Oryzias latipes: one gene and its partner. The protein of the gene in region 1 purifies or fractionates together with the protein of each later gene. This does not show direct contact. Links are inferred from orthologs where the notes say so. Each region holds a gene or a part of one and is shown in the gene's direction. Other genes may lie near its edges.

What was found.
Region 2: the proteins of polr2e (region 1) and polr2m purify together in Homo sapiens (affinity purification with mass spectrometry; 3 studies listed by BioGRID and IntAct, counting the BioPlex papers as one, with this or other methods). This does not show direct contact. The link is inferred for Oryzias latipes from reciprocal best matches to the Homo sapiens genes POLR2E and POLR2M.

Annotation. Positions count from the first base shown.
Region 1 is NC_019862.2:26,973,484-26,980,009, forward strand, and holds the start of polr2e (DNA-directed RNA polymerases I, II, and III subunit RPABC1), read left to right. Parts: upstream 1-2,507; 5' UTR 2,508-2,624; coding exon 2,625-2,681; intron 2,682-4,418; coding exon 4,419-4,593; intron 4,594-5,515; coding exon 5,516-5,631; intron 5,632-6,077; coding exon 6,078-6,158; intron 6,159-6,246; coding exon 6,247-6,305; intron 6,306-6,526. UniProt on the Homo sapiens protein: DNA-dependent RNA polymerase catalyzes the transcription of DNA into RNA using the four ribonucleoside triphosphates as substrates.
Region 2 is NC_019861.2:21,377,874-21,384,298, reverse strand, and holds polr2m (protein GRINL1A), read left to right. Parts: upstream 1-2,463; 5' UTR 2,464-2,574; intron 2,575-2,659; 5' UTR 2,660-2,706; coding exon 2,707-2,813; intron 2,814-3,545; coding exon 3,546-4,079; intron 4,080-4,194; coding exon 4,195-4,417; intron 4,418-5,048; coding exon 5,049-5,192; 3' UTR 5,193-5,567; downstream 5,568-6,425.

The DNA of each region.
Region 1 (6,526 bases):
TCCTTTCTATACCCTGATTTGTAAAGTACACCCAAAGCTTTATTAAAACGAATGCAACAATTATGAAAGAAAGTTGGAAATTTGATCTCTTGGGATATTTTACCTTCACAAACACAATTTTAGACGACAAAACATAAATACCTGATTCCCAAACTGGTTGGATGGGAAAGCGAGGATGCGTAAACCTCTCTCAGCATACGCGGCGTGCATCTTTGCAAACTGAGAGTAGTTTACTACGGTTTTGCCTCATTTGGAGGCGACGTTGGTGATGATGACAACGTTCCCCCTGAAAAACACACACAACGGGAAAATGGATGATCGTCGTTTTACCAGAAGAGCAAAACGAGAAAGAATTGATCTCAAATACCTGTATTTTTCCAAGGAAACCAAGTTGCCATCGATGTCTGTTGCATTGAAATCGTAAATAGATGTGGCCCTCTGCCAGTCCTCTGTCGGAGTGGACTGTTGGTTAAAGGTAAACATTGTTTTAAAGGCATAAAAATGTCAATCTGGGTGAAAATCAGCACAAAAATAAACAAAAATATACCAGACATGACATAAAACATAAGAAAAAATGAACAAATCCATTCTATAAAAACACAAAACAAAAGCAGAGCTGGCAAAGTTAGGTTCCAGTCCAATGCAGCTCCTGTCATTTCTTACCATAACCTGCAGCAGGACAGAGAAAAGCACTGTACAGCCTGTCAGGAGCATGGCTGCCCTTCAGTTCGCCTCTATAAAGGCAGAAAACAATCCGATCTCTGATTCCCCCTCCCCGCGACTCTGGCTTTATACGCAAAAAGCACACGTTGCAGTGTCCTCACAGAGAAAACATGTGATCTGTAACGCAGCTGATAGGATGGGATTGTCCAGCACTTCCTACTTTCCTGCTGGCAATTAAAGCCTGCAGATCAAAAACACCTTTGTACTGCGGTCCACAGTTCACAGCATTGACATAATCTCAAGACAACCTGAGCCATTTGCCCAGGCAAAGGAAACAAAAACACATTGTGTCAAATGATTAAAACTAATAGGGAAAAGAATCTAATCCCAGAAAAAAAGAGATCTTAAATGTACTGATTTGATCAACAAACCACGACAGGAAATAAGAAACTTCACGATTTATCAGTCATTGTGTTTGTTTTGAACTGTTCTTCTGAGCTGTCTTGGTATTTAGACTCATATAAAAACCTAAATGGAATTTAGCAATGTGTTCTTAAATGGCAAAACATACAAAATGTGAAGGTAAATGTAAAAAAAATAAAAAAGTAAGGCAGAGGTTTTTTACGTCATACAAAAAAAAACATCTAAAATGTTGACACTGTGATATGTTTATCAGCTGGTGCCAGTGAACAGACGGAGTGAAGGATGCTGGCGCTGCTCCAGCGTTTGTGACTATAGTCTGTTCTGTTCCGGACTGTTCGGAACCATCCAGAACTCGCTGGCTAACAAATATAAGAGGTTTATGAGCTTATGGAGAAATCTCCTTACGAGGTGTTAAGCAGAACGATGACAAAAACACAACAATAACAGGAGACATGCCTACGTATGCATAGACATGTAATAATACATGTACTCCAATGGAAACGCATGCACTGTGCTAGGCTATGCAATCAGGTTATAGAGAAGAAATACTTTACCGTGGTGGACAAAACAAAGTACAGTACCATCGCCAGCAGTGCTCCGCTGCTCGCTATAGCCCCAACTGTCAACATAACAATTAATGGCCTCATTTTTGACAGCGACTTAAATAAAAATAATAATAAAAAGGCCCCAGTTATCGGAAAAAATCTATTTTGTTCATTGTAAGCGCACGTGACTCATTTCCACCCAGTGTTGTGAAACTCAAGTGGGTGGAGTCAAATGCTTGACAAGACAAGGAGGAAATGACGTATGAGGTTTTTCAAAACAAAAATAAAAATAAAATATAGGTCAAAACGTTCAAAAAAAGGGGGGGGGGTAGGAGATAGAGGTGCACGATATGAGGAAACTCGCGTTCTGCGATATCAATGATCAATATTGCGATGACGATATAACTAGCGATACATGAACAAATAGCAAAACAGCCAAAAGACAGTTTCTATTTCACTGCAACAGTTTAATTTAAAGAAGAGTCAAGATGACGTACTTAAATTATACTCAATGACCCTCGTCTACATTCTAAGATTTTATCTATTTTTATAGATAAAATGTGTCATAATTAAAACATAGAAGGTGATATATTTATTTATTATTAGCAAAATATACTAAGCTTTTTTAAAACCTAAATTCAGTCAGTAAAAAATAAATTTAGAAAGAGATTTTTAATTCTGAAGCAAATTTTTATTTTAATTTATTTTTTTTACCATAAGTAAATTGTCTTCAGATTTACATTTCCAATTAGCCGAAGTTAAAAAAAAATACCGAATAATTAAGAACATTTTATGAAGACTTAATAAATTCGCTCTGAAGATAATAACCTGGAGGACTTTTCTTTAAGAACAGTTTTTTTAAACGTCAACTCGATCAAACGCAATGCATTGTGGTATATAATATTGGCCAAGCCAGGAACCATCGATGCCATCGGATTTTTAGAAGAATATTAGTGATTTAAAAATACGAAAAGGAGAATAAATTGAGAAAGGATGGACGATGAAGAGGAAACTTACCGGCTGTGGAAGATCCGTAAAACAATAATGCAGGTGGATTAAATAAAAGGATATACTAGCTTAGCAGCGAACTAGCTGTTAGCTTCACATGTGGCTCGCGTTAAAGAGTCGCTTTTGACTGCCATTGTTAAAGTTGTAACTAAATCTTTTACGTTTTGTGTGTTAATCTCTTATTCTCAGTGCAAGTCGTTCCAATTACGCGCTCAGACTTTTTTTTTTAATTATTATGTGTAGGAATGATGCATTCGTTAGCCTCGTTTGAACGAAGGCTAACTTTAGCACACCCATGATGACCCATTAAAAAAAGCCAACATGTTTTCGTACATGTAGACTACATGTATGACAACATGAATGCTTCAAATCATTAAATACACTTTCACAAAGTTTGCTGCTAAACTGCTTTTAGATTTTTGTTTCTGTGATGTACTGAAATATAGTTATCAGCTCTTTATTACGTTTAGGCTTTTTTTAATCGACAATAATTATATGACATTTATGCAGAGAGTCAGGTTTTGCAGTGTTGGACTTCCTTTGTCAGCACCCCTGCAATTCGACTGGGCATGCTGTCAATCAACTTTAGGGCCAAATCCTGACCGATAGCAACCCAGATTGATTAAGATCTGGGGAGTTTCCAGGCCGTGGACCCAAAATGTCAACATTTTGGTCCCCGATCCACTTAGTTATCACTTTTGCCTCATGGCACGGTGCGCCATCGTGCTGGAAAATACATTGTTTGACGCCAAACTGTTGTTGGATTGCTGGAAGAAGTTGCTGTTGGAGGGAGTTTTGGCACCATTCTTTATTCATGGCTGTGGTTTTGGAGAAAAATGCGAATGAGCCCACTTCCTTGGATGAGAAGCAACCCCACACATCAAGGGTCTCAGGATGCTTTACTGTTGGCACGACACGGGACAGGTGGTAGCTCTCACCTTTTCTTCTCCGGACAAGCCTTTGTCCAGATGCCCCAAACAATCGGATAGAGGCTTCATGGGAGAATAGGACTTTGCCCCAGTCCCCAGCAGTCCACTCGCCATACTTTTTGCAGAAGATCAATCTGTCCCTGATGTTTGTTTTTGGGGTGGATAAGTGGCCATCTTCTAAAAGTCTCCGCCTCACTGTGCATGCAAATGCGCTCACACCAGCCTGTTGCCATTCCTGAGCAAACTCTGCACTGGTGGCGCTCCGATCCCACAGTTAAAACCCATTAGGAGACGATTCTTGGCACTTGCTGGACTTTCTTGGACGCTCTGAAACCTTGTTAACAAGAATTGAACCTCTTTCCTTGAAGTTTTTGATGATCCTATAAATTGTTGATTTAGGTGCAATCTTAGCTGCCACAATATCCTCGCCTGTGAAGCCATTCTTATGCAACGCGATGATGGCTGCACACGTTTCTTTGCCGGTCAGCATGGTTAACAGTGGCAGAACAATGATTTCAAGCATCACCCTCCTTTTAACATGTCAAGTCTGCCATTCTAACCCAACCGGCCTGACATCATGATCTCCAGTCTTGTGCTCGTCAACATTCTCAACTGAGTTAAAAAGACGATGACTGAAATGATTTTTGGGGGGGGGATTCATTTAATTTTCATGGCAAAGAAGGACTACGCAATTCATCTGATGACTCTTTGTAACATTTTGGAGAACATGCAAATTGCTATTATAAAATCCTAGGCAGCAACTTTTGCAATTTCCAATATTTATGTAATTCTCAAAACCTTTGGCCAACACTATACATATTAAAATGTTGTTTGTTTTTTTTAACCACAGCTCTGCCACGATCGAGGCTATCTGGTAACACAAGATGAGTTGGACCAGACCCTGGAGGAGTTCAAGAGTCAATTCGGAGACAAACCCAGCGAGGGTCGTCCCAGACGGACGGACCTTACAGTCTTGGTCGCACACAACGATGATCCCACTGATCAAATGTTTGTTTTCTTTCCTGGTAGGTTTATACTTGAGAATAATTTGGGAACTCATCCTTTTATCCATAAAATAACCAAAAGTTTAAGTTACACTCCAATCATATTTCGATTTATTTTTAAAGGAGTCCCCAGTGGTATTATATTTATGAATGCTCTGTTTTTAGCCAAATTCATAAAAACCTGTGTGGGCATCACTGTTGGCACGGACGTAAGCCCCTGCTGATATCCCATCATCCCTTTTTTGTTTACACACTCTCCCATTAGATTACATTGACTTTATTAGAGAATTGAGCCATGGTGACGTCGCCTTTCTTCCGGCTCCAGAGAAATGAAGCCAATAGACCCTTTTCATGGTGACGTCAGACAAAACAGAGACATGGGCGCCATTGTGTCACCGTACTTCTGGTTTTAGACGAGCAAAGCTGACAACTGAACGCTGTTTAACACCATTCTATGAGAAGAATACACACTAACCTTACCAATCGCAACGGCACTTTTTACATGATTTATTTTATAAATGTCATATCCAACTGTAGTCAATTTCCTCTTTTAAATCTTTCACAAGTCAAAATACAAATTTAAGTAATCCATCAATATTTAAGGTTCAGTTGAAAATATCAACCTTTCATTTGAGTCTAACAGGTTATATTTTTTTACAGTTTCCTATTCTTTTTATCATTTTTCTTTTTCGCAGATCAGACACAGTTATTGGCAATAGCAAAGAGGTTCAGTGTTAGAAAATATTGCAACCGTAATTAGTTGTACTTTAATATAAGACACACTGGAACTGTCTTCAATTCTGTCATATTTGTCCTCCATATTAAAAAAACACCGTTTTCACCGGGGTGGCTCATCAAACATGGGAGCAGCGAATGTATTTACATTTCTGAACAAGCCTAATAAAGCTTTATTCAAAATGATTCTTTTTCTATTCTGGATTAGAGGAACCCAAGGTCGGGATCAAGACAATCAAGATGTACTGTCAAAGGATGCAGGAGGAGAACATTACTCGAGCCATCATCGTGGTTCAGATGGGCATGACACCCTCAGCTAAGCAGGTATGTGTAATCATTTAAAACTAAGGCTGGGTATCGTTGCTAAAGTTTACATACTGGAACGGTTCCTGATCATTACATTGTTGGATACTGATTCAAAAAAATATTTTTATAACACATTCTTCAGAAATGTTTTATCTTATTTTGAAAGTAATGACTTATCTCTAACCAGTGTACACACAAAAAAAGCACAATGGGCACAAAGTGAAATCAACACAACATATCTGTACACACAGACTGCTAAATAACTTGATATATTTGAGGCTCACTATATATAAGTATCAAAATTTGGTATAAGACTCAAATTATTCCTTCAATTGTTGATATTGTTAAGATATTTAAGTCAGTGTCTACAATGACTCTAACTTGATGCACGGCCCTAATTGAAATATTACTAAAATAAGCAAAGACGCTGAACATTTACTTGAAAATGTAATCCTATTTTACAGTCTCTTGTGGACATGGCACCAAAGTACATTCTGGAACAGTTTCTGCAGCAGGAACTGCTAATAAACATTACAGAGCACGAGGTAAATTTCTTGTTATCAGTCTAAAGTTTGATAGAACTGCAGCAAATGACTGTGAGTTGTAACTCGTTGTCTTGTGTTTGATTTTCAGCTTGTCCCAGAACACATCGTCATGACGAAAGAAGAAGTGACGGAACTTCTAGCTAGATAGTATCTTTTACACTGGTGTACAAATTCACTCACTATCCCGGCCTAACCCATGAATGACTATAACGTGTGGGACTATTGAGTGAGCTGGATTTTAATGCGATCTGAACTGAAGCGCCTCACTGTTTGTTTGTTTTTTAATGCTAAATATGACGTCACCCATTGGCCAAAGTAAAAACTAAAGCTGGGTTCACATCGAGCGCGATATGAGTGGGAGGGGCGTC
Region 2 (6,425 bases), on another chromosome or scaffold:
TTTTTTTATTACACATTACAAATTTAGACCATAAGGTTGCCGGAATGTAATCCTCCACACACTAATGAGGGTAGTCACAATTTAGGAAACAGTTTGGTAACTAAAGTTTTGTGATTCAGTCGCCTGATTGAAAGACTTTAACACAAACTAAGTCACAAAAAGTACAGATGTTGTAGCCAAATTACTGAATTATTTGATTTACAAGTTTATGATTAGATTAAATTGATCAATTTACATGATTTCAGCGAACACTGCTTTGATTTAACATTTTAATCCAAAACAGCATTTGTTTAAAGTGGAGAATAGTGGAACTTCTTCTTCTTCCACTTTCGGCTTCTCCCATCAGGGGTCGCCACAGCGAACGAGTCGCATGGTAGATTTGGCAATGTTTTACGCCGGATGCCCTTCCTGACGCAGTGGAACTTACTGATAAATAATGAAAAGATTCTTATTTTAAAATTTTTAATGAAAGATTAAAAACACAAGGAAGAAAAAAAGATTAAATTGATTTGATGAATTACTGTAACATAGCTTTTTCTTTGTGAAGATAAATTCAAATTATTTTGTAAATACCCTCTTGTAGTGCTTCAATAAATATGTCCATGGAATGTACATGCAAACTTGCATGGAACCTCCACCTTAAAAGAGAATCAGGAGCTTTAACTGACCACTAAAGAGGGAATAGCAGATCAAAGCAAACAACTCATAAAATGATGTATGTTATGCTAAAGGCTATCCTTATAGAATCATTTTCTACCCATGCAAAACTGATTTAAGGACTTTGCACTGTCAGGGACACAGCTGGAACTTGAAGTGAAAGTCATTGTCTGCTGAGTTGGGTGGAAATGGTTTGACGCTTTGGCTGGAAACCTTCCAAAGGGGAAATGCAGCTGTGGAAAACAGAAGAATGCAATACTGGAAAATGTTACACCGACAACACCGGTTAAGAAAGAAAAGATCAACAAAAAGCCTAGGATCTACAAAAGGGATGTTTTTTTGCCCTGTTTTAAGCATTTTGTTTAAGGAATCTGATGGGATGGTCTGATCTGCAAAAGAAACAAGAAATCTACAGAATATTGAACTATAACAAAGAACTAAGATCTCGTGAGCAAAAAATGTCATATTTAAAAAATAAAAAAGACATGGTATTGTATTGCTATGCATTGTTTTCACTAAGCAAATAAGAAAAGATGAATACAAAGTGCTGTTTATTTCTTGGGATAGAATGATTTATTGATAATATATTTATAGTTTAATTCATTTCTGCCAAACAGGTACAAGAGATTAATTGTCTTTTTTTTTTTGAGGGAAACAGAGCCTTCAGCTTTCAGGCTCATCTTTTGTGGCACCAACTCCCCAGTTCAATTCTGGAGGCAGACACCATCTTTATCTTCAATGCAACTAAAGCCTTCCTCTGATAAAGGAAAAAGTTCTCTTTGACCTGGATGACCTTAACCCTTGTGCTATCATAGGCACTTTGACATTGGGAGTGGGGTCATCTGGACCCCACAAGACAGTGCGCTGAACGTTTTTTCTTAAATGATTTGTAATCTTCACTGGTGTCCAAGGATAACATGAAATCCTCTTCGCCTTTATCTACCTTTGTCCTGGTAGGGATAACACGTCAATGCTAGGGTGGGGTCATTTGGACCCCATAAGATAGCACAAGGGCCTCACTTTATACTTTTCTTATTTCTGCTTTGTTTTTTTTTAAGAATGCATTTAATACATTTACAGTTCCTAACTGGAATGTCTTTGTCATGTGGTTGCAGTGTTTGCCCCTGTGTTGTCTACATGTCTTCCTGTCCTCTAATCCAAACCACTAAGTGTAAACGGTCGCTCTCATTTGTTCCACTTAAATTGTTACATTTTCACTTCACAATTGTCTGTTTGCGTCCTCATAAAGGATTGCGACACATACTCTTTGATGTAATCTGTTGGTCACTTATTGAAAAAAAAAAACTAGAGTTAGCCAATTTGACCCGAATGAAATATTATGGATTAAATTGGATTATAAAACCATTTTAAATAATGTAGTTGGAGAAAAAAATAAATAAATTATTTTGTGGGCACCACTGGTGCTGTGACGTGCTTCATGCAATCAATGACGAGTCATGGTATTTGTCACAGTAATCTGAGTAAAAGATAACTTCAATAAAATGGTTAAGTAAGACATATGGTTACTATTTCCTCTAAAACACTTAAAATGATATGTGATTGAATCTTTTGTCATTTTCCCACAAAACTGGAGATTGTAATTACTTGATTCATTGTTTCTTGCTCTCCTAGATTTTTCACCTTGCGATAATATCGGTTGGAAATTTAGTTTTTTTGTACAACTGAAATTGAATTTACTGTATTGGGAAATTCTCCTCATGATCGTTTTTGGTAGTCGTGACCACCTTTGGCCAGCAGAGGGCAGCAAATTACATGTGTTATTCCAACGGCCAACGAGCTGCAGTACAGTGATCTGTACAGTAGAGGGAGAAAGAGCGTCACAGCAGACGTTGAATTTCCGCAGAAGAAGAAGAAGGTCCCACTTTGAAATGTTGTCATGAGTGGAACTCAAAGAAGGTTTCACGTAGAGCGGATTGTTTTATTAGTAAATTGTTTCTAGTGTTTTTGTCGTATAGTTTTAAAGTCAAATTTTAATCTACAGTTCGTTGTGTGGGAATGGCTGCAGTTGGAAGCGGGTAGCCATCAGTAATGTCGTGGACCGATCAGCGTCAGGGGAAGGTTGGAGACCTGAGGAACCAGAGCAGAGAAGAACTGCAGGAGCTGCTGCTGCGACAGGAAAAAATCCTCTCCAATAAGTGAGTCTGGCCTTTTATTAGACGACAAAAGAGACATTTTCCTGTAGTTTTTTTTTATTTGTTTAATGACCATAGTATATTAGCAGTTAAAAATAGTTACAACACATTCGGTTCCATCATGTTAACGTTATACCAACTGTTAAGAAATTAAAAGTAAAACCTGCACATTTTAAAATGCCCACTTTGGGCTTTAACCGAATGTTTTATATTCCAGATGCTACATGTTCGTTTATATTGTTTATTCTTAGTCATCTTTTAACTTTTAATAACAAAAAGTTACTCCCAAAGACAAATGTTTTGCTCGAAAAATGTCCCTTTTCAACAGTGAATGTAATCATAGCAAGAGGATTATGTTAGAGTCCCCCTCTGATCATCTGGATCCAGTCTCCTACAAGTGGATGCATCATGGCGTGGAGGAGGAGGGGGCTTGTGGCCTGCCGACTGTAGCTTCTACATCACAACAAGATTTTTTTCATGTATATGTCCTCTATCCTGAGAAAAATGCCACAAGAACACGTTAAAAACCGAATTTTCATTGCAGTGGGCCTCGAGGTTGCATCAAAATAGCTAGGAATGTATCATAAACCATATCAACTGATGCTTATTGTGTTGTGTATAAATCACAGATTAAGTTGTTGTTTGTTTTAGAAAAAGAGGCAGAGATGTGATAAATGCCATGTGACATAACTGCTCGATGAGTTCTTTACAAGATGATTGTTTGTTGTTTTTTAGGAGGTTATTACAGACTCTTCCAGACAAAGGGAAAAAAATTCAAGATTTTGCAGACAACGTGCGTCTCGCCATTGAACAGCGCATCGAAGAGGAGAGGAGGCGAGATTTACTGTCTGCTACAAGGAGCGATTTACAATCCAAGTACCAGCAAGCTTTCAGTTCGCAACAACGTGGAGTCACCTCATCAGCACCTTCATACCAAAATGAGGAAGGAGAGGACTCACGAGGAACGGAAAGCACACCTGATTTAGCACCAACGAAGAAAGATGCCACTTTAGAAAAACAAATGGACACATCTGCTGCCGAACCCTCTGTTAAATCTGAAGAGATAAAAGAAAGTGAGCTAGTGGAAGCCCTGGACAGGGTCCAGGTATCCGAGTCCAATACTGGAAAGTCCAAAGAAGCCTTTAACAGCAAAGCAACAACCAATTACTTTCTCCAAAAGCAAACACCAAAGAAGCCTCACTATATTGCTGTCCTGAATAGAGGAGAGTCCTCTTTACATGCCATCAGGCAAAAATTCAAACCAAATCAGTAAGTTACTTTATTTCTTTCAAAACTTTGATATATTATTTGCATTTATGTCTGTTTTATTAGGGATAAACATCTGGATTCCTTGAAAATCAAAATGTTTTAACCCTCTTTTCAGGCTGCTCAACAGAAGTGACGTTTCAACGTCAGGATCCTCGTCACCAGGTGAGCCCTCTGGAGATGCATCGCCGCTGTCCGCTCAGGCCAGGAGGGAGCAGGACAAGAAACACCTGGATGATGTCACTGCGGCCAAACTCCCTCCTCTTCATCACAATCCTGCCCAACTCCTGACCCTTGAAGAGTCCGCTGCCTTACTTGTAGAACACACCAGAAAGCAGCAGGTTAGTGTGACTGAAACCTCTCACACACATCAATATGACTCGCCATTTAAAATGGCTGTGAAGTGTTGAGAGGGCTTCATCACTGATGTCTATCATTTTGGGCTTGTTGTGGACCACTCAGAAGATTTTCTAACAATGCACAGTTGCTACTGTGGAGGTTTTCATATATGTGCAGGACTGATGGTAATATAGGTGTCATTATTTGCCCACAGGGGCATTTTCATAAATTCTTTTTTATTATTTTGTTAAAATGGTCTCAAAACAAAATGTTATTATCTGCCATTGCACAAAAGCACACATTGACAAATGTTATGCAGGTTTGAATAAAAAACTGAAAATAAAAGTGAATAAATTGGTTCAAAGTAAAATAAAAATCTTAGTGAAATGTGTTTTTAATGAATCACTGACTACATCATTTGATGTTTGTTTCATTTTGGTTTTTCATAGTTGTCATTTTCCCTTAAGAACTCCAGAGGGCAGTATTCAGACACTGACTTTACATGCAGACCAATACCTGTAAATGCAAGAGTCAAATCATCTTATTATTATTAGTCATATTTCAGTGTTTATTGCTCTCTTTATGCACTTTTTCCTATTGTTTTTTTTCTTCAAATCTTGTGTATGATTGTAGGAGTTGCAGGCCAAGCTGGCAGCCCAGAAACTGTCTGAGGGACTAAAAATGTCGGTGGGGGGCTACAACCCTGACGGCGGCTCCATGGGCGCCTACAGAGAGGTGCACGATGAAGAAGCACAGCTTTCCTCAGAGGAGGACTGATCCTGGAGGACCAGCTGAGGAAACCGTTGGCCCTTTGGCTCAAAGATGCTTTGGACCTCACTATGTGGAGCTCTCATGCATCTTAGCATGAAGGAGATGTGGATAGACTGAGCTTAGCAAACTAAATGTTAAGTTAGGATGATGGATCTGTTTAGCTCAGGTCTTCTCAAGTTCTGTCAAGATAACAGCTTCAGCTGATCCAGAGTCTGTGAGGTTAAATCCTAAATTGGTTTTCTAAGTTGAAGTTTTCTTTTAAAATTAAAAAAATGCACTTCAAGTTGATCAGCAGGTGGAACTGACTTTTTTGGGACATTGTGACTGTTTACAGCTGTACCAGCAGACGTAAGCTGAATAAAAACATCTGACTTTGTGAAAGTTAGAGTTTATATGACAACATTACTGACTGACAACTACATCAAGCAACACTCACCAAACAGCATTTTACAAACCCTTTTTCATTTGTAAACATGAACTCTATAGCACATGTTTGGCTGATTGCAGTAACATTTTGGAGTAAACGGGGTTCATACTTTAAACCTGAAGCACTGCTGCATAAATCACCTTCAGGTTGCAATCGTGTGTCTTAATCCTGCCAATCTTTTTTCGTTACGGAAACTGTAAATTTGACGGAAATATGATAAAGGGAGAAATGGGAAGATTCTGCATTGTGAGTGAGCTCAAAAAGGTTCTTGGTTGGAATCCCAGATGAGTCCTTTCTGTGTGGAGGTGCATGCATTGTTTTTCCTTTTGTCCACCCATGTGGACTTACCTTTGCCTGAAGATAGCTGGGACATGTGTCAGGGCATGTGTGGCAGGTATAGATGATAATCTGATAGATTAAAGATTAGGCCAGAAGCTGTTGGTTTGCATCTGATGTTCTAGTGCTTCAAGTTTGCAAACAGTCTATTTGCTTTGAACGTGCATTAATTATTCACTGCCTTGCACTAGTGACCTGTCCAGGGTGTACCCCACCTTCGACCATTAGTAGCAGGGATAGGCTCCAGCGGCCTCATGACCCTCAGGGGTTTTAGTGGGTTCAGAAAATGGTTAGGATGAGTGTTGCGTACAACAGCAAAAAAAATCATTTTGTTTCATCATTTGTTTAAAAATTAAACTGTCTTAATTTTAACAACGTTTTCTTTTTAACTAATTGCACATTTCTTATACTAGTAAAATTTCAAAGTGTTGCCATTTTCCCATTTCTGAATGAAGAAAATTCCGAAGAGCTGCTCT